Tamandua tetradactyla: one gene and its partner. The main gene of each other region encodes a partner of the protein of the gene in region 2 in a complex. Links are inferred from orthologs where the notes say so. Each region holds a gene or a part of one and is shown on either strand. Other genes may lie near its edges.

What was found. Proteins that work in one complex are often made in the same cells at the same time.
Region 1: the proteins of FGFR1 (region 2) and PLCG2 are in contact, whole or in part, in a cryo-EM structure (PDB 8JQI), measured with the Homo sapiens proteins. The link is inferred for Tamandua tetradactyla from reciprocal best matches to the Homo sapiens genes FGFR1 and PLCG2. Residues at the interface, in NP_075598.2 of Homo sapiens: Lys504, Asn506, His541, Lys542, Lys598, Ser602, Tyr605, Gln606, Arg609, Glu612, Tyr613, Ser616, Lys617, Lys748, Asp755, Arg756, Val758, Ser762, Gln764, Glu765, Tyr766, Leu767, Asp768, Leu769; in NP_001412678.1 of Homo sapiens: Phe528, Arg540, Thr568, Phe569, Pro570, Asn571, Phe577, His585, Cys586, Arg587, Arg589, Ser590, Thr591, Met592, Gly595, Leu601, Thr602, Asn604, Leu622, Arg623, Cys624, Ala625, Glu626, Phe627, Glu738.

Annotation. Positions count from the first base shown.
Region 1 is NC_135342.1:76,421,734-76,429,414, forward strand, and holds the start of PLCG2 (1-phosphatidylinositol 4,5-bisphosphate phosphodiesterase gamma-2), read left to right. Parts: upstream 1-4,668; 5' UTR 4,669-5,006; coding exon 5,007-5,190; intron 5,191-7,681. UniProt on the Homo sapiens protein: The production of the second messenger molecules diacylglycerol (DAG) and inositol 1,4,5-trisphosphate (IP3) is mediated by activated phosphatidylinositol-specific phospholipase C enzymes. It is a crucial enzyme in transmembrane signaling.
Region 2 is NC_135352.1:4,642,083-4,649,024, reverse strand, and holds the start of FGFR1 (fibroblast growth factor receptor 1), read right to left. Parts: upstream 3,012-6,942; 5' UTR 2,369-3,011; intron 738-2,368; exon of another isoform or gene 720-737; intron 1-719. UniProt on the Homo sapiens protein: Tyrosine-protein kinase that acts as a cell-surface receptor for fibroblast growth factors and plays an essential role in the regulation of embryonic development, cell proliferation, differentiation and migration.

The sequences.
Region 1 (7,681 bases), on a different chromosome or scaffold from region 2:
TCCCAAAGAAAGTTTTATAAAGACAGCCATTAAAAAAATGGAATTATTGGTTTGCAACTTATTTTTTCATTTAGTCTTGCAAGAATATCTTTTCAGTTCAGTGTCTGTCAATCTTCCTCATTTTTTCCCAGTAGCTACCAGCATTCTTTTATGTGTGTATTCCATGATTTATTTAAGAGACCCCCCACTGATGGGCAGTTAAGCTGTTTCCTTTTTTCTTTCTTTCTCTTTTCCTGTTACAAATGATGTTTCCAGGTTTATCTTATGCATGTTGCTTTTTGCACAGGGTGAGTTACTGGATCAAAGCATGTGCTTTCACATGTTCTTTGAGCTCACAGGTTGTCCTCAAAAAGAGTTGAACTATTTTACACTCCCGCCTAGAGTGGCTGACACTGCCTCGTTCCTCTCATGAAGACCTTTATCCTCTGATGCTGCACACAGGACCTGAGAATGTAAGAAGCAGAAATAACATCCCTAGAGCTGTAGGAATGGAGTTACCTCTTAGGGATGTGGCTGTAATGAATTTTAACAGTTGTCTTCTGGGATTTGGGATGAAATTCTTCTCCCTCCTCCAAACATGTACAAAGAGCATCGAAAAGAAGAAAACGCCCCAGTTTCCTGGTTCTGGTCTCTTTTTTGCAAAGAGAAGGACATGAAAAGCAGAATGGCAAAACCTCATATTAAATCTCAACTGTGCTTGTAGTTATACTGTAAGTCATTTTACAAGGTTACCCATGGGGGATGAGAAACAGGAACAAAAAGGGATTTCATTTCTTTTAAAAGCAGAAGCAGAGTGGAAATGGCCTGTGTTGGCCAGTGCCCTCCCATGGGGCAGAGGCCTGGAGACCGTCCTTGCCTTAGCTACTGAAGTGTCCTGCTCGGGAGCCCTGGGCCAGGAGCTGGCCGGGTTTGGGGTCCTGGCTTGGAGGATCTTATGGCCACAAGTGTCTGTTTCTGGTTCCTGATGAGATGCAATGTCAGAGACTTGGTGGGCTTCGGAGCTGGAAGGATGGGAAATCCCAGGGAAGGTTAAGTCTAAGGCCCTTCCAGAGCCAGAGAGAATGGTAGGATGCTGGTACCTTGTCCTGGCCGGTGGGGTAGTCAGGGGTAGGTAGTCAGTGTAATGACGTTAGTTCAGGAAGAGCTGAGGCGCTGGAAGCAGGTTCAGCTGTGTGACCTTGGATACGTCACTTAACCTCTGTCTTGAACAGGGTCTGCCAATTTATTTATTATCCGGGCAGGTTCTGCCAAGGGATTCTGAATTCCAGAAGGCAGGTGCTGAAAGAGTGGGGGTTCAGCATTCAGACTGGGGTTCTGATCCTGTACTCCCCTGATTTTCGTTACCTTGGTCAGGTAATTTCACCTCTCAAGAATTGTATTTTGTATTGAGACAAGTGAAAGGGAGCAGGTACGGCAACTGCTTGGCACCTGGGAAGGGCCCAATAAACAGCAGCATTACAAGGAGGAGCAAGGCCACGGGTGCCTCGTTTATCCCTTTTCCTTGGGTGAGAGGTGATAGGCAGGAAGGCCATTTCTGGCTTTCATTCTCAGGAAGTTCTCAGCACACCCTAGCATTCCTACCTCTGGGCCTTTGCTTATGCAGGTCCACCCTTTTTAAAGGTTGGATTCAGTTGTCTGCTTTCCCCAGAAGCTTTCCCCTGTCCCACTCCAGACTGGGCTTGGGACCTCTTTTCACTGCTCCCTCAGCCCCCATGCATGTATCTGCTGCTGCATGTCCCTTTTTACACTGTTCTGTTTCCACATAGGTATAATTCATGATTATCTCCCCAGCTGCCAGCTCTGCGGAAGTGCTTTGGCTGTGGGCATGGAGTAGTGGGAGGAGGGGGCAAAGGGCAAGGACTGGACTCCCTTTGCACCCCAGTCCCTAGGACTAAGGAGTTGGCCAACTGGCTGGTTATCTTGACCGAGGTCCTGCTGAATGCTTGGGGCTGTACCTACATTGTAGGTTTTAGGAGTGATTCCCATTTGACACATGAGAAAACTGAGGTCCGAATTTGGAGCCATTTGGCAGGATGCTGTGCAGAGGCGGAGCCAGAGTGGAAGCCCAGGCAGCTCTGGCTGAACACCTGCCTTTCACTTCCTGATCTCTGGAGAGGCCTCTCGCCTCCCAGTGGCCTTAGAGTAACAACTGTGCGCTGGCCGGATGGGTTTCTCTGGGGAGGGGAGGGGAGGGGAGGGATGAAAAAGATACACAGAGCATTTGGTGGTCATGGTAGAGCTACATCTAACCGCTGGCTGACTTTGTATAGTTGTTTCAAGGATGTGACACGTGCTGCCTCATTTAATCCAAAGGAGAACTTTAAGTGGTAGATACTGTTTTCCTCCCATTTTAGGGGGACAGAATTGATGCCCAAAGGGCTCGAGTGCTTCTCCTAGGGGCTGCAGCCTGCGGGGCAGTGGTCATCTCCTCCTGAAGAGCAGGCGTTGTGTCTAGGAGGTAAAGGGAAGTGACTTATTGTCAGAACTCAGGATCCCATGGCCTAGGCTCGCATCCTAGTTCCACTGCTTAGAAGCTGTGTGACCTTGAGCTAGTTACTCAACCTCTCTGAACTCTTTTGAAACTGCAGATAGACGTAGTCTGTGTCTACTTTGTGGTGTTGTGTGAAAGTGCTCTCGCGGTGCTGGCAGCAGCCCGGGTGCACGCAAGCCCTCTATGGTGAGCTCTTTGTTGCTGTGGATAGGGTTCTCTTTGCACTTCTTGGATGCCCCTCATTCAGCCTGCCTAGGCTCTCAGCTTCTTGTTGGTTGGTGCCATCTTTCCAGTTAACTGCCCTGTGCTGTTCCTTCCTTATGCCCCACCTCCCTTGGCACTGATAGCAAAGTGTGGGGTAGTTGCATTCCCATTTTTGATAAAGCTGGTGTTGAATCCCAACTTTGGTACTTACCACCTGTGTGACTCTAAGCAAGTGACCTAGCTTCTCTGAGCCTCAGTTTCTTCGTCTTTAAAATAGACATATTAATAGTACCTACTTTACCAGGCTTTGAATGGTTCATTCATTCAATAGGAATATATATATATTACCAATCTCCAATTTAAGTGCCAAGGCCTCAGCAGTGGACGAACAGGTAGCAGAGACCCTGTCTTTTCTGCCGAGAATGTGCACAGTCTAGTAGAGGAGATAGAAAATGAAGAAATAAACTGAGTGATGCCAGCTGGATAGGGGTGGCTGCTTTGTAAGGGGGTGGTCAGGAAAGGTCTCGCTGCTGAGGTGCATTTGAACAGAGATCCAAAAAGAAGTGAGGGAGCAAGTTGAGTGGATTTCTGGAAGGAGAGCTTTCTAGGCCTGTGCAAAGGTTCTGTAGCAGCATTGAGTTTGGGGTGATCAGGGGCAACAAAGCAGATCAACATCACTGGAGCAGGCAAGGCAAAGAGGGATGGGAAGTGAGGGGCAGGGAACAGCCTTGGAGGGTCCGGGTGAGGGGTTTGGATTTGACTCCCCATGAAATGGGGAGCTGCTGCAGAGTTTTGAGTAGAGTAGCATGATTCAACTCATGCCGAGAAGATCCTTCTGGCTCCTGGTCTGAGAATTGACTTTGGGTGCTAGGGCAGAAGCAGGGAGATTCATGAGCAGGCATTGGGGATAATCCAGGGGAAGACTCCAGGAAGGCCCAGTGAAAGGGTGAGAAGAGAATACTTGTTTGGCTGACAGATTGGAGAAGAGGATTCTGTTTTTTTTTTTCTTCTTTTTTCCCCCATCATCATGGAGGATTCTGGTTTGGCTGACAGATTGGATATGGAATGAGAGAGTTGAAAGAATGATGACTCCAAGACTTTGGATCCGAGCACCTGTAAGCAACGAGTCCGATATTGGATCCGAGTCCGATAAACAACGACTGTTCACGAGACTCAGCAGTGGTCGAGAGCACAGGGATTGTGCCATGCCAGGCTGTGCTGGTGGCGTAGCTTTTCAGCCTTCCGGTTGCTGGTGTCACGCTGTTCTAGAAAGGACCAGAGGGAGGTTTGGAGAGTTAAGCAGCCTTTGCAAGGCCACGTGGTCAGCAAGAACCTAAACCAGGATTTGAACACGACACAGCTGGCATTTTTGCATTTCTGTCCCTTTTCTCCATTTCTACGCAGGGAAAGGAATTGCTTCTGATTTTTTTTTCCTGTTTCTGTCTTAGTTTCCTGGGGCTGCCATAACAATGTGTACAAATTGGATGGCTTAAAATGACCGAAAACTATTCTCGCACAGTTCTGGAGGCTGGTAGACTGAACTCAAGCATTGGCAGGGCCCTCCCTGGCCCCTTCCAGCCTCCATGGGTGGCAGCCATCCTTGGCCTTCTTGGCCGGTAGTTGCGTCACTTCCATCCCAGCTTGTCATTCTCTGTGTCCAAAAAGTCCCTCTTAGAAGGACATCATCCATATTGGGTTTAGGGCCCACCCTGAGGCAATGGGACCTCTTCCTAGCTTGATCCCATCTGCAGAGACCCTGTTCCCGAACAAGGTCATGTTCACAGCTTCCGGGTGGATGTGAGTTTTTGGAGGACACTATTCAACCCAGTACAGTCCCCGGCTTTGCTCAGGGAGAGAGGGATGGTCGGAAATCTCTGGGCAGGGTGGGGCAGGTTGTTGTGGGGTGAGGGGGTTGAAGGTTGGTGAGTGGGGGCTGGTCCAAGCTGCTTTGGCTATTCAAATATTCTCCAGGAGAAAAGCTGCGAGGGGAAGAGAGCTGGCTATGGCCAGGTAGGGTGCTTTGGGTATTCAAATCCCAGGTAGCGGTTGGTGCAGGAGGGATCCCTCTCAGCACGTTGACTCCCACTTCAACCCTTGTGTCCCAGTTGGGCTCTCCGAGTGGCCGCCGGTTCCCTGCCACTGGAACCTTCTCCCAAAGTGCACTTGGATGAGCATGAGACAGGATTTTGGCTCCTGAAACCCATGCCCTGTTGACTGCATTTCCCCCCAGCCAACTACAGTCAGTTCACCCTCTTCTCTCCCTCTTGCAGCCTCAGTGTTCCCCCCCAACCCCACCCCGGAGTGCCCGACAATGGCGACCGTGGACAACCTTCCGGAATATGAGAAGAGCCAGATCAAGAGAGCCCTGGAGCTGGGGACGGTGATGTCCGTGTTCAGCTTCCGCAAGTACACGCCTGAGCGGAGGACGGTGCAGGTGGTCATGGAGACCCGGCAGGTGGCCTGGAGCAAGACGGCCGACAGGATCGAGGGCTGCCGTGAGTACCGCCCGCCGTGGGCGCTGCGAAACCCGAGGCCACAGGGAGCGGCTTTGGGGCAGATGGGATGGGGGTGGGGGTGTGGGGGGGGAGGCCATCCTGGGAAGACCTGGTCGAATCACCTAGCGGAGGCCAGAGTGGGCACCTGGAAATGAGGTGCCGGCGCTTCTCCTGGGGGACAGGGCTGAGTTCCCGTCTGCAGCATCAGGGGCTGGGGGGCTCTTGGGGTCTCAGGGGGGCTGCCGTCCTCGGGCGAGCTGGCCTGAGCGTCCCCCGCTGGCTTCTGGAAGCTCGTGGCTTGGTAGCCGCACACTTGCTTCGTCTCACTGCAAACCACAGCAGTGAGAGGCTTTGCTTTAACCTCCATGGACAGGGCAAGTCGTTGAATGGGTTTGGGCTTTCAAATCAAGTCTCAGCCCTGCTGGGGTGCCTTCGCTTCCCACCCCCGTTGACCTGCTTGGTTCCTGAAGTTTCCAAGACTGTTTTTAACAAAAGGCGTAAGGGGACTTAAGCAATTATTAGTTGCAGATGCTTGTCTTACTTTGTATACTTTTAAAACAAATTATTTAGTTATTGTTTGAAAAATGTATTGTGGTAGCATGTATGTAGCAGAAATTTTTCCATTCTAACAGTTTTTAAGAATAACATTCCGTGGCGTTAATTGCATTTGCAGCCTTTTGCTACCGACACCGCCATCCATTACCAAAAGTTTTTCATCACCCTGAACAGAAGCTCTGTACCTAGTAAGCAATAACTTCCTATTTCCCCCCTTCCTCCAGCCCCTGGTGACCTCAAATCTACTTCCTGTCTCCATGAATTTGCTTATTACAGATATTTTACATAGGTGAAATCAAACCATAGTTGACCGTCTGTGTCTGACTTATTTCACTTTGCATAATGCTTCAAGGCCCCATCGGGACACCACTCCTTTTCACAGCTGAGTAATGAGTCCACTGGGTGGGTGCACCACATTTTCTCTCTCCGCTCGCCTGTTGATGGGCACTGGAGTTGTGTCCACCTTTTGGTGTGAATAATGCTGCTGTGAACGTTTGTGTGCAAGTATCTGAGTCCCTGTTTCCAGTTCTTTTAGGTATATGCCTGAAGTTCTCTGGCATATAGGTAGATAATAATTGTACATTAACTTTTTGAGCAACTGCCAAACTCTTTGCCCAGTGGCGACACTGTTCAGCATTCCCAGCAGCAATGGACGAGGCTCCCCGTTTCTCTGTATCCTCACCAACACTTGCTCTTTTCTGGGTTTTAAATAATAGCCATCCTAGTGGCTGTGATGGGCTATCTCATTGTGGTGGTTTCCTAGGTTCTTATTGACAAATTGAAATATACACTGGGGGAAAAAATTAATTAACTCATAAATAAGCATCTCTCTTTCTCAGCCCCATCCCATGCTCTGGAGACAAACTCACTGCTAATTTCTTTGATTTTCCAGAAATGTTCTGTTCTTGTATAATGTGTGTACCATGTTTTTTTCTTTTTTCTTTTTTTCTTTTTACACAAGTGAGAACCTACCACATAGGCTTCCTTTTTTCAAGTAATAATCCTTTTGGAGGCAGCACCTTTTCAGTATTATGGAGCTGTGTTATTTGTTTGGGGTCAGTAAGCTTTCCTGCCCGTGGTCACAGTATGACAGTGTGACCCATAGCAATGGACATCTTGGGCTGTTTCTAGTCTTTCGCTGTTCAGATCCGTGGTGCAGTGATTGCATAGTCCTTTTATACACGGGTCACAGGCATCTCCCAAGGGTGACTTTGGATGTGTTATTTCTGAGTTAAAGGGTAGGGTGCATTTGAACTTTGAAGGGCAGACCAGTGATACCCCCCAAAAGACGTTACCCCACTGGACACTCCAGACTCCAAGGCCCGGGGGTCCCCAGCACTCTTGTCCACACTGCAGTGTGCTGCGTTTGAATTAGTCCTTCGCAGGGGGCTCTGGGGGCTCGGCAGAGGTTTGAATTTGATTTCTCTGGCCACTAAGATTAAGCAGCAGGGGAAAGTGTCTGCCGGCCTGGGAGCCCACAGCCGGAGGCCTGGCTTGGAAATGCCTGTGTGGAAGCAGTCACCACTGCTCCCCATTCCCTGTGTGCTGCTGCTCAGAGACAGACTGGGGGTGGAGGGAGGTGGGTGGGGGGCGCAGGGGCTGGAACAGGCGCAGTGGTAACTACAGGTGGGCCATGATGCGAGCGGATTGTGCGCCCTTTTCCCCTTGGCCTGTGGGAAACACCTTGGAGGCTTTTAAACATATACAGGACTGCCCCCTTTTGATTTAGTGACACCAGGTGGCCTGGGACCCAGTATTTTACTAAGTGCTCCAGGTGGTGATCCTGGTGGCTGGCCAGGTCTGGTACTAGAGGGCCTTCCTCCCTCCTCCTCCCTGTCTTCCTCTCTTCTCCTTCCCCCCTCCCTCCTCCCTTCTGCCCCCTCCTCCTGTGCTAGGCACTGTTCTGATACTGGAGACTCCCCAGTAATTCAATTAG
Region 2 (6,942 bases):
AGCTAACTGGAGGGAAATACGTAAACAAGTCATTACGGAGGCTATGGGGGCAGGCGGTCAGCAATAGCACTGAAAAGAAGGAAGACACCCAAGCTCAGAGGGTAATTAGCCAGACCGAGGCACGTCCCACGGGGCTCAGCTACTTAGCTTTTAAACAAGCCTTGGAGAGGAAACCCGGATGCTGGGCCAAAGGGGGAAAATGGCCACTTTCAGTTCAACAGTCTCAAGGCTAAGGTTCTACAATTTAGGTGGGATTCCAAAAAAAGCGCTGGTCCGGAGGTGCAAAGGGCAGGCCACATCTGCGGAGGAAACAGTCACCTTAATTACCATGTCTAGAGAAAGTGCGATTTCATTGCAGCCTCCAAACTACCCGCCCAAAGAAGGAAACTAGAGAAGTGTTTTCAATTTGAAAGAGCCTGGAAAGGAGAGAGAGGGTGAGGGAGACCAACTCTTCTCCACCCGCTCTCAACTTTGGGCCAGAGGGCGCTGCTTTCCTGTGCCAAAGGATATTACAAAAAAAACAAATAAAAAAAAACACAACTCATCAAGCCAATCCCCGCGTCAGACCTGTAGCCCGTTAGTCAACGGTCAAACGTCTCACTTTGGTTTCCGGGCGCTGCAGCCTCCCCCAAACTCCTTAAAACACTCACAGGGAAGGGCCACAGGCAGCCCCCCACCCCCCCGCCGGCCCTCCCTACACGTCCCCACGCGCTGCGCACCGGGAAAAGGGACGCGTGAACGCCACCGAAGGGGCAGCCGGGGATGGGCAACTCCGAAGGAAGGATTGCGCACTCGGGACAGAAGCTCTAACCGAAGGGAAGAGAGTGCCCTGCTTTTGTTCGCGAAACATCCGTCAGGGCCAATTCTGGGTCAGACCCACGGTCCAAGAGGCAGATGGACTGCTGGCAAGTGTTATCCCCTAAAGCCTGGCCCCCTTCTCCCACGACGTCTCTTTTCTGCAGTTTAGAAAGCGTCCCAACCACCACCCATGAGCAGCAGCAGGAAAATAAGTAAGTGGGAATCCTACATAGCTTGGGATCCAAGGTAACTTTTTCTCCCTGAATCCCAGCCCCTCATCCCCAATTTTTAAGAAAATTTAAAGGACGTGTTTAAGAATCCCCGTTTTAATAGGGGTGGGTGGGATGCTAATAACGTGGCTGCGGTGTACCCGTGTGGAGTGAAATGGAACCAGATGCCGATGGTACGTCTGGAATATGGGAGGAAAAAGTGTTGAGGAAGAGAGACATCACAGACGTGTTCTTAAAATGGGTCTTTTTGTAGCTTCTGGGCCCCAAAAGGACAGAATGGCCTCACCCCCTCTCCTCAAAAAAGGTGTCTGGCTGCTTTCATAGGGCGTGTGTTGTATGAACCCCATCTACCACGTCAGTAAATTCCTCGGGCAATGAAAGGATTCTCCCCCTTTCTCCCCACCCCAAACATAAAGAATGTGGGGAGCGGCGAACAGAGAGCAACAGGCCTAGGTGCCGAGTGAGCCCACCCGACAAAATCCTCATCCCTTCCCCCACCTCTAAGAACCGGACTGGAAGGGTATGTTCCCCTCCCCCATAACCCCATCCCGGGGCTTAACATCAACCCTTTGGGCGCCCTCGCCCTTCTCCAAACTTCCGACCCTGTCTGGGATGGACTGTGCAGAAGACACCCCTCCCTGGGACGGAGAATTCCTCCCTCGCCCTCCGCTCAAGCAGATATCCAGTCATTTGGTGACGCCACCTCCTTAAAACCTATTCAGGGGTAGGCTAGGCCGACCCCCTCTGCCTTCCCCCTTCATACCCCTACCCATCCACCCACCCCCGACCCCAGACTTTCCGGGAGAGGGAAGAAGACATAAATATCCCGGATTGTTAGCTGTCTGTCCGGAGCTACCTGCTGAATTGGGATGAGTCACCACGAAGGGACCCAAAAGGGAGGAGTGAAATGCAACACACACACACAAACACACACAACACGCGCACACACACGCACACACACACCACCACACCACCTCTCTCCCCAGGCGGAGAAGCCCCCAGGGCCGCCGCCGCCTTTGCCCCCATCTCAGTCCCTCTCTGAACTGACCGCTCCGGAGCGCGAGTTGGCAGAAAAGTTGGGCGGCGGGACTAGGGTTGGGGAGGGGGCGCAGAAGGCGACGCTGGTAGATGCGGGGTGGGTGGGGGGCGTAGGGCCGACAAAAGAGGGGTGCAGTAGGCTGGGAGTGGACAGGGAGCCGGAAGGTGGAGGAGGGCTGGGAGGGAGGCGCCGGCCCCGACTGGGCTGCAGCAGAGGAAGCGCGCGGCTGGGAGGCTCCGGCGCGGGGAGCCGCTCGGGACTTCCAGCCTGAGCGGGATCTGGCGGGCGCCGCGGCTCTTACCTCACCCGGCGCTGCGGTGCCGCCTCTGGAGAGTCCGCCGTGGCTTGTGTAGACTGGCGGCTGCCCGCGTCTCCCGCTCCGGCCCGCTGCCCTCGGGGCTCAGCTCGGGTCCCGGCTCCGCGCGGGGTTCGGCGCTTCCAGCCCGGGCGGGAACAATGGAGCCGAAGCTGGTGCCCCGGAGGCGGGGCGGCGGGGGGGAGGGCTCCTGTCCGCCGCCCAGGGTCTCCAGACTCTGTGCCCCGACTCTGCTGAACCCCGCGGCGGCGGCTCACGCTTCTGGCACACCCGGTTCCATCGTCCTGCGGGGGCCCCGGCCCAGCGGCGCGCCCGACTGCAGCACTGGTAACGGTGCGCCCAGCTGGGCGCCACTCGGACTGGAGAAAAGTCCTTGGGCTCGGCTTGGCTTTTCCAGCTGCGGGGAGCGCTGGTGGCTGGGGAAGGCGAGCGAGACGCAATGCGCTAAGCAGGGTCTCGGTCCTGTCCAGACGTGGCCGGCCCAGCTCCCGGCACTGCCGGGGTTCCTCGGCGTGCTGCGGGTGCGGCAGGACCAGGATTCCGGGGTCCCGCTCTCCGCCTCCTCCTGCCGAGGCCGACACACCAGTGCCCGCAGGAGCGCTCCGAGCGCTGTGCGCCGGCGAGGCGCGAGGACTCCCTCTCGCAATCCCACGGCCCGCTAGTCCCTCCTCCTCTTCCTCCCCCTTCAGCTGCCTGCTGGGCCTTGTAGTTCCTGAGCCGCGGCCCCCGAGACAGGGGGAGCGAGCCGCGCCGCCGGCTCTCTTCTGCTGGTTTCCTGCAGTCTGGGCTCGTTGGGCGCGCGTGCCCTTCCCTCTGAGTACCGTGAGCAGGGCGCCGGAATATCAGGCCGCTGGCAAGCTAACAGTTTGGAGGATGAGATGGGGAGAGAATGTAACCATAAGGTTGTTCGTGATAGCATAGGCTTTTTGAGTCTGACGGTTTAACTTGGAAAATGATTTTTCTTACTCTAAATCTCCGTTTTTCTATCTGTAAAAAGGGGCATAATAGTACATTCCACATAGAGTTCTGGATTAAAGGAGACGTAGGTTTACGGTCTGGAACGTAGTTAACAGACGTTTTTATTCGAGTATCTGAGGCTGGAACCCCTTCCTCAGATTCCGTGATCTCATTCAATCCAGCTACATTAATTCAAGTTTTGTGGTTCCCAGGGTACTGAACCCCATAAATTCTACAGCACTCTTCTTATCCTCCAGAAGTCTCTAGCATGTGGTGAATGTTTAGGAAGCTGAGTGAGTGGTGGGAGTTGTGGGGAGGTGTTGGTTTGAAAATGAATCACCGCAGCATTAGGTGGAACCCAGGGAGAATGACCTAAATGTCCTTTTCCCTGGGTCCTTCCATGGGGTGGTATATCTAGTGGTTTCCTAATCCAAAGGTACATGAGTTCTTTGGGGAGCATTTTGAAAATACAAATTCTTTGGCCCACTCACTCCTGTGGAAACAGGCTGTTCCAAGAAGGAGCCAGGAAATCTGTATATATATATTTAAGCTCCCTTATATTGTACCTGTAATGTGAGGGCAGGTTTGGGGCCACTGGTAGAGTGCAGTGCCACACTGAATAGGAAGGAGACTTCAATTCTGGTCCTTTGCTGATGAACTGTTTGATCTTAGACAAGTCATACATCTGAAAATGAGGATGGAATTAAGTAATGGATATCAGTACACCAAAAGTGTTACACAAACAGAAGTAACTAAGTTAATAGTAGGGTCTGTTTCCTCATCCCTACCCCACAAGGTCTTGGAAGTTCAAATACTGATGATTAGGTCCTCCAAACTTATTGAAAGGGTCTCTAAGCTCCTTTTTCATTTCACCATCAGTGAAAGAACAGACAATCCATAACTGTTTATGGACTGACTGAGGAGTAAATATTCAATAAAAATTTTTGAATGAATGAATAAATAGCAGGAACTCACATATTTGTGGAATAAATGAACATCAACTGTTTATAGGGTGTATAGGGTTATTTCTCCTGCAAGCTTGTCTGTCCACCCCTTTAACCTTCCAGCTCCTGGACAGGTTCCACTGATCCTTTCCTATCAGCTGCCCACCCATTAGGCCACCTGTGTTGCAAATAATGCTTATCCCAGAGATGTAAGAAGACCAGACTCACACCCCTCCTTATTAATCCCTGAAACTCCTAGTAATCCTCTGGTATATCCCACCTATTTGATACTTGATATAGCCTTTGTTAGTTGTCTTTTTTACCCTATGCTCTTTCCCTTTAGTTGACTCCTAAACTGTTCTAAGGCAAGGCTCCCTTCTACATATCTGGCCTAGCTCAATTCTCTGTCCTCAGGAGGTTTTTCGTGTATGTTTGTTGTTGATGGATGTGATGAGGGTAGCAAACCTGGGTCATCAGAGGACAAAATACAAAAATGGTTGGGAAGACAAGCCATGGAAGAATCTAGCATTTCATGTTCACACCCAATTACTGTTTTCCCACTTTATTCCCAAAGAAGAGTGGATCACCTTTCCTCTCTTTGCTTTTTTTAAAACAGAAAAACAGTTCATGTTTTATCCTGTTTTAAATCCAGCCTTTTTTTTTTTTTTTTTTTTTCATTTCTTTTGTTTTGGAACCATTTTGGAGTCCCAAGGAGGCAGCTGAAGAGCGTGTCCTTGTTTTAAACCAAAAAGAATGATCTAGCTGCCTCTTTGGTGTTGAGGGGCACAGGCGCTGCCAGTGAACAAATTCCTCTATGCTTCACCCGGTAACTAAAATGAAAGCAAGTGGACAACTCAATAGCTCTCTCTTCCTCAGTTCTTAAGGAAACATCCCACGAGAGCCAGAATGGAGAAGTCCTAAAACCCTGAGGACGAATGGGCCATCAGCAGACTGTGGCTCCTGAATAATTGAGAGCTGACTGCTTTCTTCATTCTAGACCGGCTCCCCACTCGCGCCGCTCCCCACCCCCACCCTTCCCCCAACTCTTTTTGAAATGTAGACCCTCAGCTCAGGACAAGTCTCAGGCCAATGGAGGGAGAGCATCCCCAGGGCAGCCCTGAGCCATTCCAGGCAGCAAGGGTCATATGGCAGCTCTGCCTGCTTCTGTCCTGCACTGAGGACTCCTGGCTCCTTGCCTCCCCACACAGAAATGTAATCTTCCCTTGGAGATAACAAAGAGCTGGGAGGGTCACGGAGGATTTGTAGGCCCCTTGCCCTGCCAGCAAGATGTCGGAGAGGGAGACAAAAGGCCTTCATGCTCTAGGACCTGATAACCAGTTGGGGGCCTGTAGCCTCCCGGATCTACAGGGGGAGGGGAACAGTGCTGAATGAAAAGAAGGGAAACGGAGCTCTCCCCAAAGCCCGGCCGGTCCTCTTTGTTTGGGAACAGTTGCAGAAAATCCCTTCCTTCTCCTTAGAGCCGCTTGTGTTCTCTGAGCTCCTCCACCGAGTAGGGAGCTTCTCTTTCCCCACAGTCCATTCGCCCCACTGCTCCCCTGCGCCATCTGAGTTTGTTTATTTCAGGGCTCAGCAGTCCCAACCAGGGATGAGGACTTCACTAGACCGGTTCATACTTCAGAGTTAACACCTCACTGAAACGGAAGAAGTTTGGGGGGATGGACTGGGCGAGGTTGGGCCTCAAGTCTGCTCCAGTCAGGCTTTGGGTGGGGGGTCCCTTAGCTGTGATAGGAACTGGCTGAAACCCAGCTCTGAGAGCTGGTTGCAGGAAGGGATGCAGCAGGAGTGAACTGTCGGGTTTTCCCCTGCAAAGTGGGCCGTTCACAGGTCCCTGGGAGCAGGTGGGCGGCAAAGCCTTTTGCCCCAGGCCCCTGGAGTCAGGGAGCAACAGTCAGTTACCATCTGGCGGCCATTTGGTAACCCCTGGCTGTTCTTAGCACAGCTTCAGCTTGTCAGGGAAGGGAGGGTCTTGTTTGGCTTGGTGTTTTTGTAAATAATACTTCACTCTCTCCTAACAACTGGGGGTGAGCAAGGGAACTAGCTGCAGTAGTGGCTGGACTTGCCTGGCCCTAGTGCAAGACCATCCACTAAGGTTGGGGAGCACTTTTGTGCTTCAGGCACTGAGCTGGACACGGTGTTTCTGAAAATGAAAGGGACAAGGGCATCCCAGTAGCTCTGGCTTGGGGTGGGGTGGGGTGGGGGACCTAACACTGCAGGCAGTGCTGCGCCAGCCCAGCTGCTTGTGCAAGGTGTTTTGGGAGGAGCAATCAAGAGGCTTAATTCCTTAGAATAAAGATGGCTAAAAGGAAGTGATTCTTGACTTTAAAGAGTGGCAAACAGCATGTGAAAATCCACAAACTCATCTTGGACACTTGTGGAAGGTAAGGCTGGAGGGTACATGCTGGGGTATGAAAGCTTCTGAGTTCTCTTCCTCTAAGAGGGAGAATTCAGTCTCTGGGATCAAACAGGTCTTCTGGGTGTCAGTCCTGATTTTGCCTCTTCGTACTGGCTGTGTGATCTTGGGCAAATTGTTTAATTCCTCTGTATTTCCTCAGTGGTGAAGTGAGAATAATGGCAGTCCCTGTTCTTCAGAGTTGTTGAAAAGATGCACTGAGATAATAATGCATTAATGCACTCGAT